2 linked regions of the Pelodiscus sinensis genome follow. The protein of the gene in region 2 purifies or fractionates together with the protein of the main gene of each other region. This does not show direct contact. Links are inferred from orthologs where the notes say so. Each region holds a gene or a part of one and is shown on either strand. Other genes may lie near its edges.

Region 1 (8,132 bases), on a different chromosome or scaffold from region 2:
GGAGCGGGCTGGGTGTTACCAGGCTTTGAACCCCACGCTGCTCCCAGGTGCCACTCCCAGCCACTGCATTCGAGGCATGCTTTCCACTGTTCCCAATTACTGTATCACAATTTCGGCCAATGGGAGCAGTGGGGAAAGCCTCCAGGCAGTGTGTCTGTGTGCCACTGTTCCTCCAGCCAGAGGAACGGGGAGCAGCAGTATGCAGAGCTGCTTGCTCCACTCACAGGCCGGATCCAGCAGCAAACCTCTGGGCTTTCTACCTCCCCCCAACAGGAAGCTGGTGCTGGCATTCCAATCTCATGGGGATACGGGAAGAGCACGACTGGAGCACCAGCATAGACTCCTTGTTGCAGGGGAAGGGGCTGAGTTTTGACTTGTGGCCCATTTGCAAGGTGATTGTGGACCACTAGCGGTCTGTGGACTGCAGTTTGAAAATCACTGAGCTAGGGAGGAGTTGCACCAAGGGGATGAAGATCCACATTTTTTTATCTAAGGCTCTAATGCTGACCTAGCACACTTTAAGAACACTTTCACAGCAAATTTGACAAAATGTAAAGAAGATACCAATGTGAGATTTCTACAGCACTCAACCAAAGATTTAAGCATCTGAAATGCCATCCAAAATCTGAGAGGGATGAGATATAGAGCCTGCTTTCAGAAGTCTTAAAAGAGCAACACTCCGACAGGGAACAACTGAACCACCACCACCAAAAAAAAAAAAAAAAAAAAAAAAATCAACCTTCTGTTGGTGGCACCTGACTCAGATGCTTTGAATTGCTATTTAATAGAACCCATCATGGTCACTGATGCGTGTCCTTTGGAATGACAGCTGATACATGAAAGGACACATGAGTCTTTAGCACATCTAGTACGTAAATATCTTGAGATGCTAGCTACAACAGTGCCATGGAAACATTTGTTCTCACTTTCAGGTGATTTTGTAAACAAGAGCAAACCACATTATCTTCTGCAAATAACCCAAACTTGTTTGTTTGAATGACTGGCTGAACAAGTAGATTCTAAAGTTTTACATTGTTTTATTTTTGAATGCAGTTTTTTGTACACAATTCTACACTTAAGTTTAATTTTCTTGATAAAGAGACTGCACTACAGTATTTGTATTTTAAAAAATGAAAAATGAGTAGTCCTGTAGCATCTTGGAGACTAACAAAAATAATATATTATCATGAGAAGGTCTTGTGGGCACAACCCACTTCTTCAGAAAGCCCACGAAAGCTCATAATATATATTTGTTAGTCACTGAGATGCTACAAGACCACTAGTTTTTTAAGTAACAGTCTCTACCCCCTGAGTACTTATATTAGGTTAATTGAAAAATACTTTTTTTTTTTTACAGTCCAAGAATTTGTAATAAAAAATAAATATAAAGTGAGAACTGTGCACTTTGTATTATGTTCTAATTGAAATCAATATTTTTGAAATATGTAATATTTAAATGAATGGTATTCTGTTAGTTTAACAACTCAATTAATCACAATTAATTTTTTAATCGCTCCACAGCCCTAATTTAATTTCAAACATTTTAAAGGACAAAAGTTAACACTGTTTTATCCTTAATTCATTTGATCTCACTTACTTATTACTAGTTGTTCCCTATTTCCACAAGTTTTATATATATAGCTTTAAGGAGCATTACACAATGCTACTTAATGATTTGCCTGAGGTAAGTAATTTTTGTGACAGGAGCGTGAATCATCAGTAGGGCGGAAATATAAAGTATATCTTTATTACCACGGCCTCATGATTTCAAAAGGCTTATTTAAATCTAGATATTTCTGAATTCACTTGGTCAGTGGCATTACTCAAAGTACTTAAAGAAAACCACAAAATCCAAAATAGCAATCCCTCTCAAGTTTTTTTTTTTTTTTTTTTTTTTTTTTTTTTTTTAACATAATAGAATTTGCAGATCTAGGAGGCTCTCTGTGATTTTTTTTTTTTTTTTTTTACTGTGGCTCGGTCTTTGCTCAAGCCTTCCTTCCCTGTTGCCTTCCTGTCTAAAACTTTTTCGGGACAGGGAAAGACCTTGTCTTTTAACTGTTTTTCTACTGCACCTTAGGAACACATCCAAGTGTGTTAAGAAGTTAGCTAGTACTGTTGGAGTGAACGAGGATTAAGACTGAACTTCCACAGTCTCAAGACACCCACTGCATTTCACAAACGCCACTGAGAAGCAGCGGTGCTTACAGCACCCTTCACAAGGCAGGAGCAGAGGAGATGAGCCCCCACCCTCCCTCCTTTCAGGGAGGCCCGGGACAAAGCGCCCAACCTTATGGAAAGTGCCACGGGGTATGTAGCGGCCACTCCGCACGGGCAAGCCCTGCGGCCGAGCCCCAAGGAGTTGAATGGCTGGGCGGCAGCGGACAAAGGGCCAGGGCATGTCCTTGTCTGGCTTTAGGGCCGGGAGCCCTGGGCCAGGCTGACACGGGCCAGGCCCGGTGAGGGGCAGCCCCGCCCTGCAGCGAACCCGGAGCCAGCCCTGGCGCTTCCCGAAGGTGGGCGGCACTGGCTCCCCGCGCGGCCCAGACCCAGCACCGAGCCGGGTGGCGCCGCACACATTAGCCCCCAGACTGGGCCGGGGCAGCAGCGGCCGGTGCCCTGCACCAGCCCGCTCGGGAGGGGGCCCAGCCCCGCGTACCTGGGGGCCCCAGGCAGCCCCCCCCCCGTCTCTCCCGGGAGCTCGGGCTCCTCGCACAAGGGGGCATGTTGGCCCGCGGCACAAGCGGGCGGAAACCCGCCCCCGCAGCGAGCGCGGCCCCCGGCCCCGTACCTTGGCCATGGCCGCGGGAGAAGGCGGCGGCAGAAGCGCGCTCGGAGCCCGGCTGGCTCAGGTCTGTCCCCACGGATGCCCGGGAGCCCTGGCGCGGTTCCCTGCGTGTCGCGGAGCCCGGCGCCGCTCCCTCCGTCCAGCTCGCTGGGCGCCCTGTGTGCGGGCCGCAGGGGGTGGGAATTGGGTGCGGGCCCAGCCGCGCCGCTCCTCCTCCGCCTCCGGAAGCGCATTCCTCCCTGCTGCCGTCAGGCCCCGCCAGTGGGCGGGGGAGCGCGCAGCTAGGGCCGGGGGAGGGATCGGTGCCCTGTGGGCTCTGGGCGGGAAGGGCCCGGAGCTGGGAACAGGGCACTGGGCCAACTCCCCTACCTCCCGGGACAATCCCGCCCCTGCAGCGCCGCTCGCCCTCGCACCGCTCTGCCCGGGCTGCTGGCAAAGCGTGAGGGACTCCCCCCCGCCAGGTTGCGGCAGTGTGGGCTGCCAACGCGCCAGATTTTCATTGCCAGTTGCGCGATGTTTGGTGTGGCGGCGGCGGCGGCTTATTTGCGGCCTCCTCACCTGGTTCCAAGTGATGGAATGAGACCCGTGGCTAAGAGAGAAAGTGTCTATCCTTCCTAGTTGGAAAGTAGGGAAAGTCTGGTTAAAAAGGGACTCTGGTAGCAGGGGGAGGGACATGTTTGCAGACATGGTGCCTAGACCATCCAGAGGGGCTCTTCTCCCCCACCAAACTGCTTGAATCCCAGCTCACTACAGGTTCCCTGCTGTGCCTCTGACTTTTAAATGTAGTCAGAGCCCCAGTGGGCCCCTTACTACATTTAAAAGACACAAGTGGGAATAGGGAGCATCTTACTCACCCCTAAATTAAATTAATGGAGATTGCCTATCTCCTAGAACTGGAAGGGACCTTGCAAGGTCATTGAGTCCAGTCCCCTGCCTTCATAGCAGGACCAAGCACCATCCCTGACAAATTTTTTGCCCCAAATGGCCTCCACAAGGATTAAACTCACAACCCTGGGTTTAGCAGGCCAATGCTCAAACCACTGAGCTATCCCTCCCCCCTTATTGACTAATACAAGTTGTCGATGGAGACTACTCAATTAGCTGATTAATCAAAATTTAACATCACTAATATGTGTGACATCTTTTCAGTGGCGGCCCATGACTATAGGCCGACTTGGCCATCGCCTAGGGTGCCTCCTTCAATGAGGAGCCTGATGATGACGTCACTCCATTGACAGCCATGCAGGCGGGGGCACTGATCACGCATTCCTCCTGGGCTGCCAGCTGCCGCAGCCCGCCTCAGGCCATGCCTGCATCTTTTGTGTACAGGCAGTCCCCCAGTTACGTGGATCCAACTTATGTCGGATCCTCAGTTACGAACGGAGATTTTCTCGCCCCGGAGGACTGGAACGGCGGGACACCTGGTCCCGCTGCCCGCCTCCTCCGGGGCGAGAAAAGCTGCTCCCTGTCTCCCTGGTCTGCTGGGGGAGCCAGCAGACCAGGGAGACGGGGAGCAAAGCGGCGGAGGACCCGGGGCTGGACCCGCGGCGCTTCCAGCTGATCTGGAAGTGCCACGGTCCGGCCCGGGTCCTCCGCCGCTTTGCTCCGCATCTCCCTGGTCTGCTGGGGGGGGACGCAGCTAGTGCCCCCCCCAGCAGACCAGGGAGACGTGGAGTGAAGCCCGGGGCCTGTGGTAGAGCAGGTGGGGCACTGCCGGTTGGTCCCGCAGCACCGCTCCTTAGCTTAACTGGACCAACCCGGCAGCACCCCAGCTGCTCTGCCCCAGGAGTCCTGATTCAGCCGCTGCTGATCAGTTTCAGCAGCGGCTGAATCAGGACGCTTGGGGCAGAGCAGCTGGGGTGCTGCTGGGTTGGTCCAGTAGCGCCGAGGAGCGGCCGTGCTCCCGAGCAGCACCCGAGCTGCTCTGCCCAGGCGTCCCCAAGTCAGCCGCTGCTGAAACTGACCAGTGGCTGACTACAGGAAGCCGGAGGCAGAGTTGCTCTGCCCTGGGCTTCCTGGAATCAGCTGCTGATCAGTTTCAGCAGCAGCTGACTTGGGGACGCCTGGGGTTCTTAAGTTGAATCTGTATGTAAGTCGGAACTGGTGTCCAGATTCAGCCGCTGTTGAAACTGATCAGTTTCAGCAGCGGCTGAATCTGGATGCCAGTTCCGACTTACATACAGATTCAACTTAAGAACAAACCTACAGACCCTATTTTGTACGTAACCCGGGCACTGCCTGTATTGGGTTTCTTAGGCACATTTGGTTTAGTTAACCATTAGAGATAGATGAATTCATCTAACCACTGGTTCTTATCTATGGGGTTCTGAAAATTTCATTCATGGACTACATTTTAATACAGAAACTGTTCCATGCTCCCACTAATGGCTGTGCAGACCATTTCCTTCTGTGTTTCACTGCATAACACTCATGTGGCAACTACAGTAATTGCTTACATGAAGAGTAATTTTAGAAAAGTGTTTCATGTTTTTAAAGCTATTCTTAAATGCAGTTTAAGGGTTGGCAGTAAAAAGGAAGAGCCAGCTCTGTGGACCACCAGCAAGTGCTCTATTGACTGTCAGTGCTCCATGAAACACAGTTTGAGAACCTCTGATCTCTTTGGGTATGTCTACACAAACAAGAAAAACTCACAACAGTTCCATGCCAGCTGACCTGGCTCAGGGAGTTTGGGTTATAAGGCTGTTTCATTGGTGTTTAGACTTCTGAGCTTGGGTTGGAGCCTCAGCTCTAGGACCTTTTCACACGGTGTGGTTTTTTTTCTTTGCTGTGTAGACATACCCTTTTTGTCTCAATTTCACCAGTAAAATGGAATAATTATACTTGTTTGCCTACTGAGGAATAGTTATTTAGTCTTTGCAAATTGCTTTGATGTTGTAAAGTACTATATAAGTATTAATAATTATTATTTATATTAAAGTAGCAGCTAGTGGTTCTAATAGAAATCAGAACCTCCTTGTGCTAGATACTGTACAAAAGAAAGACACCGTTTCTGCTCTGAAGGGTTTAGAGTCTAAATCAACAAGCCAAAAAGTGAAAGAGGAAGGAGAGAATCCAAGTAACTTTCTTGATATCACTTTGCAGGTCAGTAACAGAGCCAGGTCTCTTGAAAGTCAGTCCAGTGCTCTATCCACTGGATCACACTGTCTCTGTAGTATCAGCACTTTTATTTTCCAGTTCTTTCACTGAGAGCAGAGTTATCCAGGGTATCTTGTCTATTGTTACTATGTGCCTCGATTCTGTACTTTTGTAGCGGGAACATAGTAAGGATGTTAAGTATCGAGTAATTCACGAATTGAATAGTTGATGCATTTTTGCATGAACTATTTGATTAGTTGACAGGGCAGCGCTGCCCCTTTGAAACTCTGCTGCATCATTTCAAAGGGGCAGCACTACACAGCTGATCCTGGGCTCCGTGCGGTGCTCGCCTTTGAAACACCGTGGTTTTTCAAAGAGGCAGTGCCACCACTTTGAAATGCTGCAATATTTCAAAGGGGCAGCACCCCATGGACCCTCGGATCAGCTATGCAGTGCTGCCGCTTATTGGACATTTGCTTATCGGATAGTGGACTAGTCAACTAGTCCTTAACATTCCTAGAACACAGAAGAGTTTTCAGAAGGAAAACACTGGATATCTCCAACAGGAAGGGAGTAATGTGTCCTAGAGGATAAGAATGAAGAAGATGCTAGGCAGAAATTATTATTAGAAAGCATGGTCACTTTGTCCAGGAAGTGATGATGCTAGAGAGTTGCAGTAATACTTTTGATCAGAGCCTCTTTTTGTTTCTTCTCTTCTCTAATGATAACACTTCTTGGGGGCTTCGTCTATACTGCAGCCTTCTTCCACAACAGCTTATGCAAATGAAGTGTGGAGTAGAATATCACCATGCTTCATTTGCATAAGCAATTAGCAGTCTTTTTTGTGCAAGAGACTTTTGCACAAAAAGGAGCTGTGTAGACGGCACCTTTTTGCGCAAAAACACCCTCTTGTGCAAGAGCCGTTCTTCCTCATTTTTTGCACTAAAGCCTCTTGCGCACAAACTGCTGCTAATTAATTATGCAAATGAAGTGCAGTGATATTCTACTCTGTGCTTCATTTGCATAAGCTTTTGTGGAAGCAGGCTGCAGTATAGATGTAGCCTGAGAGTAGGTAAGTGAATTTAGCCAGGCAGCTAGTCAACATCATAAAATGTGGCCATTATGGAGTTGTCGGTTTACATCAGAGTTAGGCTTCCAGCCTAGGACAAGGATCTGAGTGGAGTGAGTCAATAAATACTTGGTGCCTAGTTGGAGAACTAGAGTTGACAACATATTTACAAGGCTTTGTTCGCTATAATCCTGGTTTCCCATGGTGTGTAGCACCTTCCTATGATAAGGTGGCCATTCTCAACTCCTGTTGGTTTTACAATGTTCATCATCTAGCAGGAATGGGTCCTATAAGACAAATCCTAATTTCTGATGAGTACTTGAAATTCCACATGTTATTGAGCAAATAGAAGATAATATATTTATTTTTTCCTATTGAAATTGATATAGAATTTCTCGCAAATAAATAAGAAAGGATAATTATAAATCAGATTCTCAGACAATAGCCAGGATCCCTGACTTATAGCATTATTTTAAACAATCTTTTGCCTGAAAATAAAAATTTAGGAAAATTAATTGTATATTGCAATATACATTAGCATCTGATAGTCGCAAAGCTTTAGAATTTCAAGATAAGGATTCTACAAATTGATTAAACTGTTGTTTTTACCTCTCCTAACACAACTTAATTCCTTAAGAGCATAAGAATGGTCATACTGGGTCAGACCAAAGGTCCATCTAACCCAGTATTTTGTCTTTCATCAGTGGCCAATGCCATATGCCCCAAAGGGAGTGAACAGAACAGGAAATCATCAAGCAATCCCTTTCCCATCACCCATTCCAAGCCTCTCAGAGGCTAGGGACATCCTGGCTAATAGCCATTGATGCACTTAACCTCCATGAATTTATCTAGTTCATTCTTGAACCCTGTTAAAGTTCTGGTCTTTGCAACCTCCTGGGAGGATTCTGTGTCACTGCATGTGCAGAATTCATGGGCCCTTGCAGATTTCTTTGCTTCCATGCAGAAAAATTACTTCTGATGGAGAAGTAAAGGGAAGCTGCAAGAGCAATTATGAGTCCTTCCCCAGAAGTGCAGGTAACTTGGATTGGGTGCCCAGAGCAACCAGTAGAGATGTAAAATCTGTGCTAGGAAGACCCTGTCATGCACATGAGAAAGAAAGGCACTCTGGGCTTGCAGTATGCTTGCCTTAGACGGGCTTTGAGGTGTTTCTGTGGAGGTAGG
Region 2 (8,028 bases):
AAGAGGATGATCCAAAAAGAAAAGTGCAATAACCACAGCCAAAACTAACATTCTTGCTTCCAGAGGTTCCTCAGTTGCTTTAACCCCAATCTACTTTAATTTAAAGGTTTGAGGGAAGAAGTTGGTTGTGCCCAAGAAAGCTCAAGACACCATCTACATATTTTGTTAGTCTTTAAGATGCTGCAAGACTATTCATTGTGTAAGTTTTTACGTTAATTTAGAGAGCCATATCCTTGAGTATCTACTGTATTTTTACTTCATCCACTTTCACTGCCAAACTCCCAAGAAAGAGAATCACTTACAAATGCACATATTCACAGATTCCCAAGGCCAGAAGGAACGATTGTGATCATCTAGTCTGTGTAACACAGGACATAAAACCTCCTAAAATAATGCCTAAAGTTTTAATGAAAACCTCCAATTTTGTTTCAAAAATTGTTAGTAATGGAGAACAGACTAGACATCTTGGCAAACTGTTCCAATAGTTAATAACCCACCTCGTTCAAAAGGTGTGCCTTATTTCTAGTTTGAAATTGTCTAGGCTCATCGTCTATCCACTGGATCAGTGTGAAGAAGGCATGTTTTATTGTTCAAATAAAAACTCATTCTCTTTTCTCTCACCCTCTCACATACCTACTTATATAGGTCAATCAACATAATAATGGAGCACCCCTCCCCCTATTTAAAATTTACTCCCCCCCTCCCCCCGCGTATAAGAAAATAGGTTTAGTTAATTAATCTGTTGTTTTGGGACAGTGTGAAGATGTTGGCTTACATGTAGGAACAGTGAAAGGAAAGGCAAGCTAAAGCAAACAGTACTTCTTTTTGACAGTAAGTAATGTCTTGCAGGAACAAGCCTCATAGACCAGGTCCTTTGAAAACTATTTCCCACACTCCCAAACCTCCCCCATTGGCTAAGTGTCATGGTTTCAGTGGATCACAAGGGACACAGGAGAGAGGATCTCTCAGGTAGATCAGACCAATTGAATAAATGTTTCTTATTACAGGATACAAACACAGAATTGGACATGGAACTGAACTTTGTAGTCAAGGAGGAGAAGAGCTGAGCATAGCGAAAAGTGTTCAGCACAACCTGTGTTCTTTAGCAGGACTGTTGCATCCTGTACAAAAATCATACACTGAGAGCAGAATACATATGCTTGCATGTATGCCACTGATAATTCATCTTAAAAAACACTCCAGTTACTTCATGATGGCTTGGGAAGTGAAATGTTTTAGAGAGAAACTCCAGAACATAATCTAGAAACTTTTTCTTGTTCCCACTGACTTCAGTTACAGTTGCCCTCAGTTCAGGAGATGGAACTACTTTCTTGGGAGGGGAAATAACAGTGATTTAATTTGAATTCACACAAGCACTTGAAATCAGATGCTGAAAGCAAAACATGGAAAGAAAAATAAATATGAAAATGGGAACTGTCATTTTAATTTACTTTAAAAAAAGTTTTATGTCCTTTTTATTGGTAAGAAAAAGCCAACTTTTAAAAAAATATAGATTTTTAGGACTTATATTTTAAATAATTTAATCTAAATTCATAAGAGCATTGATCTTTTATGTTATTGAAAGGTAAATATAAACACTAATTTATGCAATACCAAAATGATACATGAAAATATGAAATAGGCATATAGAGGGCATTCTAGGTTCTTGTATTACTGCAAGTGCTGGTATAAGTTGAAGGAGGTTTGTTTTGTCAGATCAAAATTGGGTGATGTTATTCAGTTTTGCAATAAACAGCCTCTAAAAGGGTTTGAAACTATTTGCAAAATAGTGGAGGAAGGAACATTTATTACAGTCCAGTATTTCACCATGCTTCTGGGGAAATTCTATTGCTTCTTATTTTGTCAGTTATAACTGTTGAGGATTCAAGGGAATATAGACGTGTACTTCACTTCTTCTAAATAAGAGAGTTGTCGCAGCTGGCTACTTTCTGCATTCAGCTATAAGTGGCAAGCAAGCTTGGCGTTCTTCATTGAAGATGTAACATCTTCAGGTGCAAATACCATTCAACTCACCCAGCTGGAGCTGCTCACAAGTCCCATTGGGGTTGCTCCCGATCCTGCACCTGAATATTGCACCTGGGTTGACCACAGAGCTATTCGCCAACCAGTTGGCTTTCGGGGCTCCCACGACCATCCTAAAAGCGAGGAGAAAAGAGTTTTAAACCTGTCAACAGAGATGAAAACACCACGAGGCAACCCCTCTCCCCACCAGCACCCAGGAGAATTAGAGCGTCACGCTCTCCTGCGCCCACCTCGCGTGCAAACGTTTGCTTTGCGATGGGGGCCCGTGGCGGGGGAAGAAATTGCTTCCCAACTTCCTCGGCGTCTTTGCAACGGGAATGCTGGGAGGGGGGTGCCGCACGGTCACCGTCACTTTCATCGGATACCCGATTGCGCGCGCTGGGCCAGGTTCCGAGTGGGACAGTCCCTGGGACAAGCTCTGGCAGGGACTCGCGCCTACCGCAGCAAAGCCTTTGCCGGGGGCGCCGCAGCTGACAGAGCGAGGAGCCAGGTGCAGGCATGGCCAAGTCAGACCGGCGACGACCCGCTGGCGTTTTGCTGCGAGGAAAGTCCCCCGGCAGCTGCCGGGAGCGAGAGGTCGCCTGGCGAGCGCTGGTGACTTACCATCGACTAGCGCCGTGGCTGTGCAGGAGAACTGTGTAGCCAAACAGTGTCCCGTTGAGCCCCCTGAAGACCACGGGGTGCTGCGTGTCCAGGTTGTACGCGCGGGCAGCCCCCAGCAGGAGCAGCGCAGCCCACGCGGCAGCGCCCCCCGAGGCGAGCCCCCCGCTCAGCGGCTCCCCCCAAGCCCGCATGGCGCCGCGCGGCGAGCTCTAGCCCCGCCGGCTGCCTGCAGCGCACAGGGCTCGTGCGCTGAGCAGCCCCTGCCGCTGGGGGCTGAGCCTGCTAGGGGAGGGGTAGAAAGTGCAGGCAAAGCGCCTGGCTTTGGCGGGCGGAACTGGAAGCCCCTCGGGCAGTGTTTAAAGCGCAGCAGGCTCCGGGCGCTGTTTCTCATCAATGGGAGTCCCTCCCCTCTTTACCCCCAGGTCAGGGGCTAGAGCAGGGAATCCGGCCCCGCTGCTGGCCGCAGATGGATGCGTCCCTCTTGCCCTGGGGAAGCTGCAGGCTCCCGGGCCCAGGAGTGCGGGCAGTTTTAGCCACCGACCCCCATGTAAGCCCCTTGCACCACCCTGCACGTGCTCCCATGCCCCAGCCGCCCCCCCCCACTCCCGTCCCGCACGTGCTCCCATGCCCCAGCCCCCCCCCCACTCCCGTCCCTCACGTGCTCCAATGCCCCAGCCCCCCCTCACTCCCGTCCCGTACGTGCTCCCACCCCAGCCCCCCCCACTCCCGTCCCGTAGTGCTCCCACCTCAGCCCCCCCCACTCCCGTCCCTCACGTGCTCCAATGCCCCAGCCCCCCCTCACTCCCGTCCCGTACGTGCTCCCACCCCAGCCCCCCCCACTCCCGTCCCGTAGTGCTCCCACCTCAGCCCCCCCCACTCCCGTCCCGCACGTGCTCCCACCCCAGCCCCCCCCACTCCTATTGCTGGGGCGATGTGAGGCTTTAACACTTATAACAAATGTCACCCAGGAGTTGCCACACAACTGCCTCCCCTTTCTCTAGGAAAGTAACCAGCAGGACACAAGGAGGAGTTGGGGAACAGGGGGGAGATGGGGCAGCTAAATATTTCAGGAGCTGGAGTTCAAGGCAGCTCCCCAAAGAGTTTTTAACCTTCCTCCCCCTCCCAACAGTAATTCTGGCCTCTCCCTCCTAAAATACCAGTTTCCCCATTCTCTCCCTGCTAGCCTCTGCCCCTGGGGTGTGTCTCTCCTAACCCACCCACCTCGGGCTCAGTAGGCTGAGGACTGGACTGGAGTGGAATCATAGACAGAAGGGGAGGCTGCAGGAAGTGGGTAGGGGTGGTTGGTGGTTAGGCCTCACCCACCGTCTAATCCCACCCTGCATGGTTGAAGCATTGGACTGGGCCCTTGGACAGGGAGGAAGGGTGAGGGAGGGGCTCAGGCCTCGAGCAGTAAATAGGGCCAGGGGCCAGAGAGACTCAGAGGCTATGTCTAGACTGGCATGATTTTCCACAAATGCTTTTAACGGAAAAGCAAGTGCCCCAAGGTTCGGTTCTAGGACTGGTTTTGTTTAATATCTTTATTAATGACCTGGATGAGGGGATAGATTGCCCCCTCAGCAACTTTGCGGATGACACTAAGCTAGGGGGAAAGGTAGATACGCTTAAGGGCAGAGATAGTGTCCAGAATGACTTAGACAAATTGGAGGATTGGGCCACAAGAAATCTGATGAGGTTCAGCAAGGACAAGTGTAGAGTCCTGCATTTGGGACGGAAGAATCCCAAGCATAGTTACAAGCTGGGGACCAACCGGTTAAGTAGTAGTTCTGCAGAAAAGGACCTGGGGGTTACAGTGGATGAGAAGCTGGATATGAGTCAACAGTGTGCCCTTGTAGCCAAGAAGGCTAATGGCATATTAGGTTGCATTAAGAGGAGCATTGCCAGCAGATCCAGAGATGTCATTATTCCCCTTTATTCGGCTTTGGTGAGGCCTCATCTGGAGTATTGTGTCCAGTTCTGGGCCTCCCACTACAAAAAGGATGTGGACTCATTGGCGAGGGTCCAGCGGAGGGCAACCAAAATGATTAGGGGGCTGGAGTTTATGACTTATGAGGAGAGGCCGAGGGAGTTGGGTCTGTTTAGTCTGCAGAAGTGAAGAGTGAGGGGGGATTTGATAGCAGCCTTCAACTTCCTAAAGGGAGCTTCCAAAGAGGATGGAGAGAAGCTGTTCGCAGGAGTGACAGATGGTAGAACAAGGAGCAATGATCTCAAGTTGTGGTGGGAGAGATCCAGGTTGGATATTAGGAAAAACTATTTCACTAAGAGGGTGGTGAAGCTCTGGAATGGGTTACCTAGGGAAGTAGTGGAGTCTCCATCCCTAGAGGTTTTTAAGTCTCAGCTTGACAAAGCCCTGGCCGGGTTGATTTCGTTGGGATTGGTCCTGCCTAGAGCAGGGGGCTGGACTTGATGACCTCCTGAGGTCTCTTCCAGTTCTATGATTCTAAGTGAAAACATGTTATGTGGGTCAATTTTCCCATTAAAAATAATGGAAAAGGTGGGAGTTATGTTTCAAGTAGTGGGGAATGGGGAAACCCAGCCGCCAGACTGCAAGCTGGGTTGGAGGAGAGGGAGCAAGGCATCCAGTGAGAGGGGGTCTCCGGGAAACGACATGGCGTGCAGTGAACCCTCCACCGCTTTGCAGGGAGGCGGGGGAAGCCCCCCGCAGCCGCTGGCGACCGGCCAGCCAGCTGGGGAAACCATGTTATTTTGGGCACGGTCGTGTTGTTCAAAAAACGTTCCCCCCCCCAAATCATGCTATCGCAAAAATGTGTTAAGCAGGCACGTGTTAAGCAAGTAATTACTGTACGACGTTGGAAGACAGGGCTTCTTGTGCAAGAGCTATGCTCTTTTCTAACAAGTGTAAGCCCTCTTACGCAGGAGCTCTTGCACAAGAGGGCAGTGTGGACGCACAGCAGAGGTTTCTTGTGCAAGAAAGCCCTATGGCTAAAATGGCCATCAGAGCTTTCTTGCACAAGAGAGCATCCACACTGCCATGGATGCTCTTGCACAAAAGCACATGGTAATGTGGACGTGTTCTTGCGCAAGAGTTCAGTGTAGACATAGTCTTGGAGCAGGCACTAATAATACATAATTTAAAGTTTCCTGGATTAATAAATGCTTCCCACATTTGAGCTTTGGCTGGTTTCCATCAGTGCTTGTATCATGCTATGGAGATAGAATGGCACATAGACAAAGTTAATACTGTATTAATTCCTGCTACAGGTTTTTCTTCTGGTTTGGGAGATAAATATATTGTGTTGGGTAAGTGCTCCCGAGACCTGGCCCCCTACTACCTCAATAGACTCCCAAACCATAGAGGCTTCACTGGATAAGTGCTATAGGAGAGAGACAAGAACAGAGCGGCTATGTCTAGACTGGAATGATTTTCCGCAAATGCTTTTAACGGTAAAGTTTTCCGTTAAAAGCATTTGCGGAAAAGAGCGTCTAGATTTGCACGTAGAATAGTGGTAGAAATGTAGCCGTGTTAGTCTGGTGCAGCTGAAACAAAACACAGTACTATGTAGCACTTTAAAGACTAACAAGATGGTTTAATATGTGATGAGTTTTGTGGGCCAGACCCACTTCCTCAGATCAAATAGTGGAAGAAAATTGTCACAACCATATATACCAAAGGATACAATTAAAAAAATGAACAAATATGAAAAGGACAAATCACATTTCAGAACAGAAGGAGGATGAAGGGGGGAAGAGGGGAAGGTAAATGTCTGTGAGCTAATGATATTAGAGGTGATAATTGGGGAAGCTATCTTTGTAATGGGTAAGATAATTAGCGTCTTTATTCAAATTTGCGTGTAAAGTGTCGAATTTAAGCATGAATGACAGTTCAGAGGATTCTCTTTGAAGTGAAGTCTAGAAGGGTGTGTCTAGACTACAGGTTTTTTTCGAAAAAACTGGCCTTTTTTCAAAAAAACTTCCCCTGCATCTAGACTGCTGCCGCGTTCTTTCTAAAGTAAATCAAAAGAACGCGGCAATTTTTTCGACCATGGAAAACCTCATTTTGCGAGGAATAACACCTTTTTTCAAAAGTGCTCTTTTGAATAAAGACACTATGTAATGCAAACTGCTTTTTCGAAAGAGAGCATCCAGACTGCCTGGGTGCTCTCTTTCAAAAAAGTGGCTCACTTTTTCGAAAGTACAGGCTGTAGTCTAGATGCTCTTTTTTGAAAGAGGCTTGTAGTCTAGACGTTCCCAGAGTTGCTAATTTTTGCTTTATGCACCCACTGAGTAAAGGACAGAAACTTGCAGTTCGCCATGTTATCTGTTGCGTACAAAACAGCACTGGGGGAAAAAAAATGTGTGATATCTATTGGCTGATTCAGTAGGGCTTATTTTCTGTGTGTTTGCTTTGTTCACAAGTATTTTCCATAGCAGTGTTTCATTTTACAGAAATGTTTGAGCCAGGAAGATTTCTCTCTTATTCTGCGAGCAGCTTGAGAACACTATTAGCAGAATATGTACGGTTCAAAATTGCTATCCCAAGTTGTTGCTTAGACATTAGGAGGAAATAACTACTACTTTTGGACTGTGTGGTTAGCTCAGTGGTCCATAAAGTAAGCTGTGTCCCCCTTACTCATAAAGTAATCTGTCTGAACCCCTCTTCCCCCGGCAGTGAGGCCAGGGGCCAAAGCCATGGCCAGGATCGGGGCCATGGCTGGGAACAAAGCTGGAGCCAGGAGTTGAAGCCTGAGATGGGCCCAGTGACTACAACCTGGAGCGGGGCTGGCACCACAGTAGAGCGGGAGACAGAGTGGGACTGGGAGGGCTTCCTTCCCACCCTCCTATGGGGGCTAGCGCAGATCCTGCCACGCCATGCCAAACATACTTCTCCCTTAGGGGACACACTGTGTTAGCTAATATTATGGGCCTCGCAGAAGAGTTTCTGTTAGAGGGGGAAACCGATGATCAGAGTTATTTCTTTGGTGCAATCCTGTTTATTTACAAAGAACATACACACAGTCCTTTTTCTTTACATACAGAAGAAGCAAACAGCAGTCAGTTTCCTTTCTCATAATTTCTAAGTCTACCTTTCCAGTACTATCTGTGTTCCCAAGTTGTTCATTCCATCTCTGTTCCATCTAAGGGCCACAGTGTCTGCAGGCTTTCTGTCTCATAGCTAAAGTCAATCCTAGGGTTGCCAACCCGCTAGGATTGGCCTGGAGTAGGGATGTAAAATTTCAGTTAATCAGTTAACCGGCTGAACATTGGGTTGACCTAACATTTAACCGGTTAACCAACTAAAGTGGGATCCAGGTTGGGAATCACACCAGCCCAGCTGAAGCAGCCCCCAGCTCATGGGGCTCTTGCCCCCAGCCCTGTCTTGAAGCTGCCATTGGTTCACAGTTC

The links.
Region 1: the proteins of ITGA4 (region 2) and ITGB1 purify together in Homo sapiens (co-immunoprecipitation; 4 studies listed by BioGRID and IntAct, with this or other methods). This does not show direct contact. The link is inferred for Pelodiscus sinensis from reciprocal best matches to the Homo sapiens genes ITGA4 and ITGB1.

Annotation. Positions count from the first base shown.
Region 1 is NC_134712.1:230,379,998-230,388,129, forward strand, and holds the start of ITGB1 (integrin beta-1), read right to left. Parts: upstream 3,025-8,132; 5' UTR 2,798-3,024; coding exon 2,789-2,797; intron 1-2,788.
Region 2 is NC_134717.1:48,518,521-48,526,548, reverse strand, and holds the start of ITGA4 (integrin alpha-4), read right to left. Parts: upstream 3,185-8,028; 5' UTR 2,838-3,184; coding exon 2,647-2,837; intron 2,607-2,646; exon of another isoform or gene 2,402-2,606; coding exon of another isoform or gene 2,274-2,401; intron 2,157-2,273; coding exon 2,035-2,156; intron 1-2,034. UniProt on the Homo sapiens protein: Integrins alpha-4/beta-1 (VLA-4) and alpha-4/beta-7 are receptors for fibronectin. They recognize one or more domains within the alternatively spliced CS-1 and CS-5 regions of fibronectin. They are also receptors for VCAM1.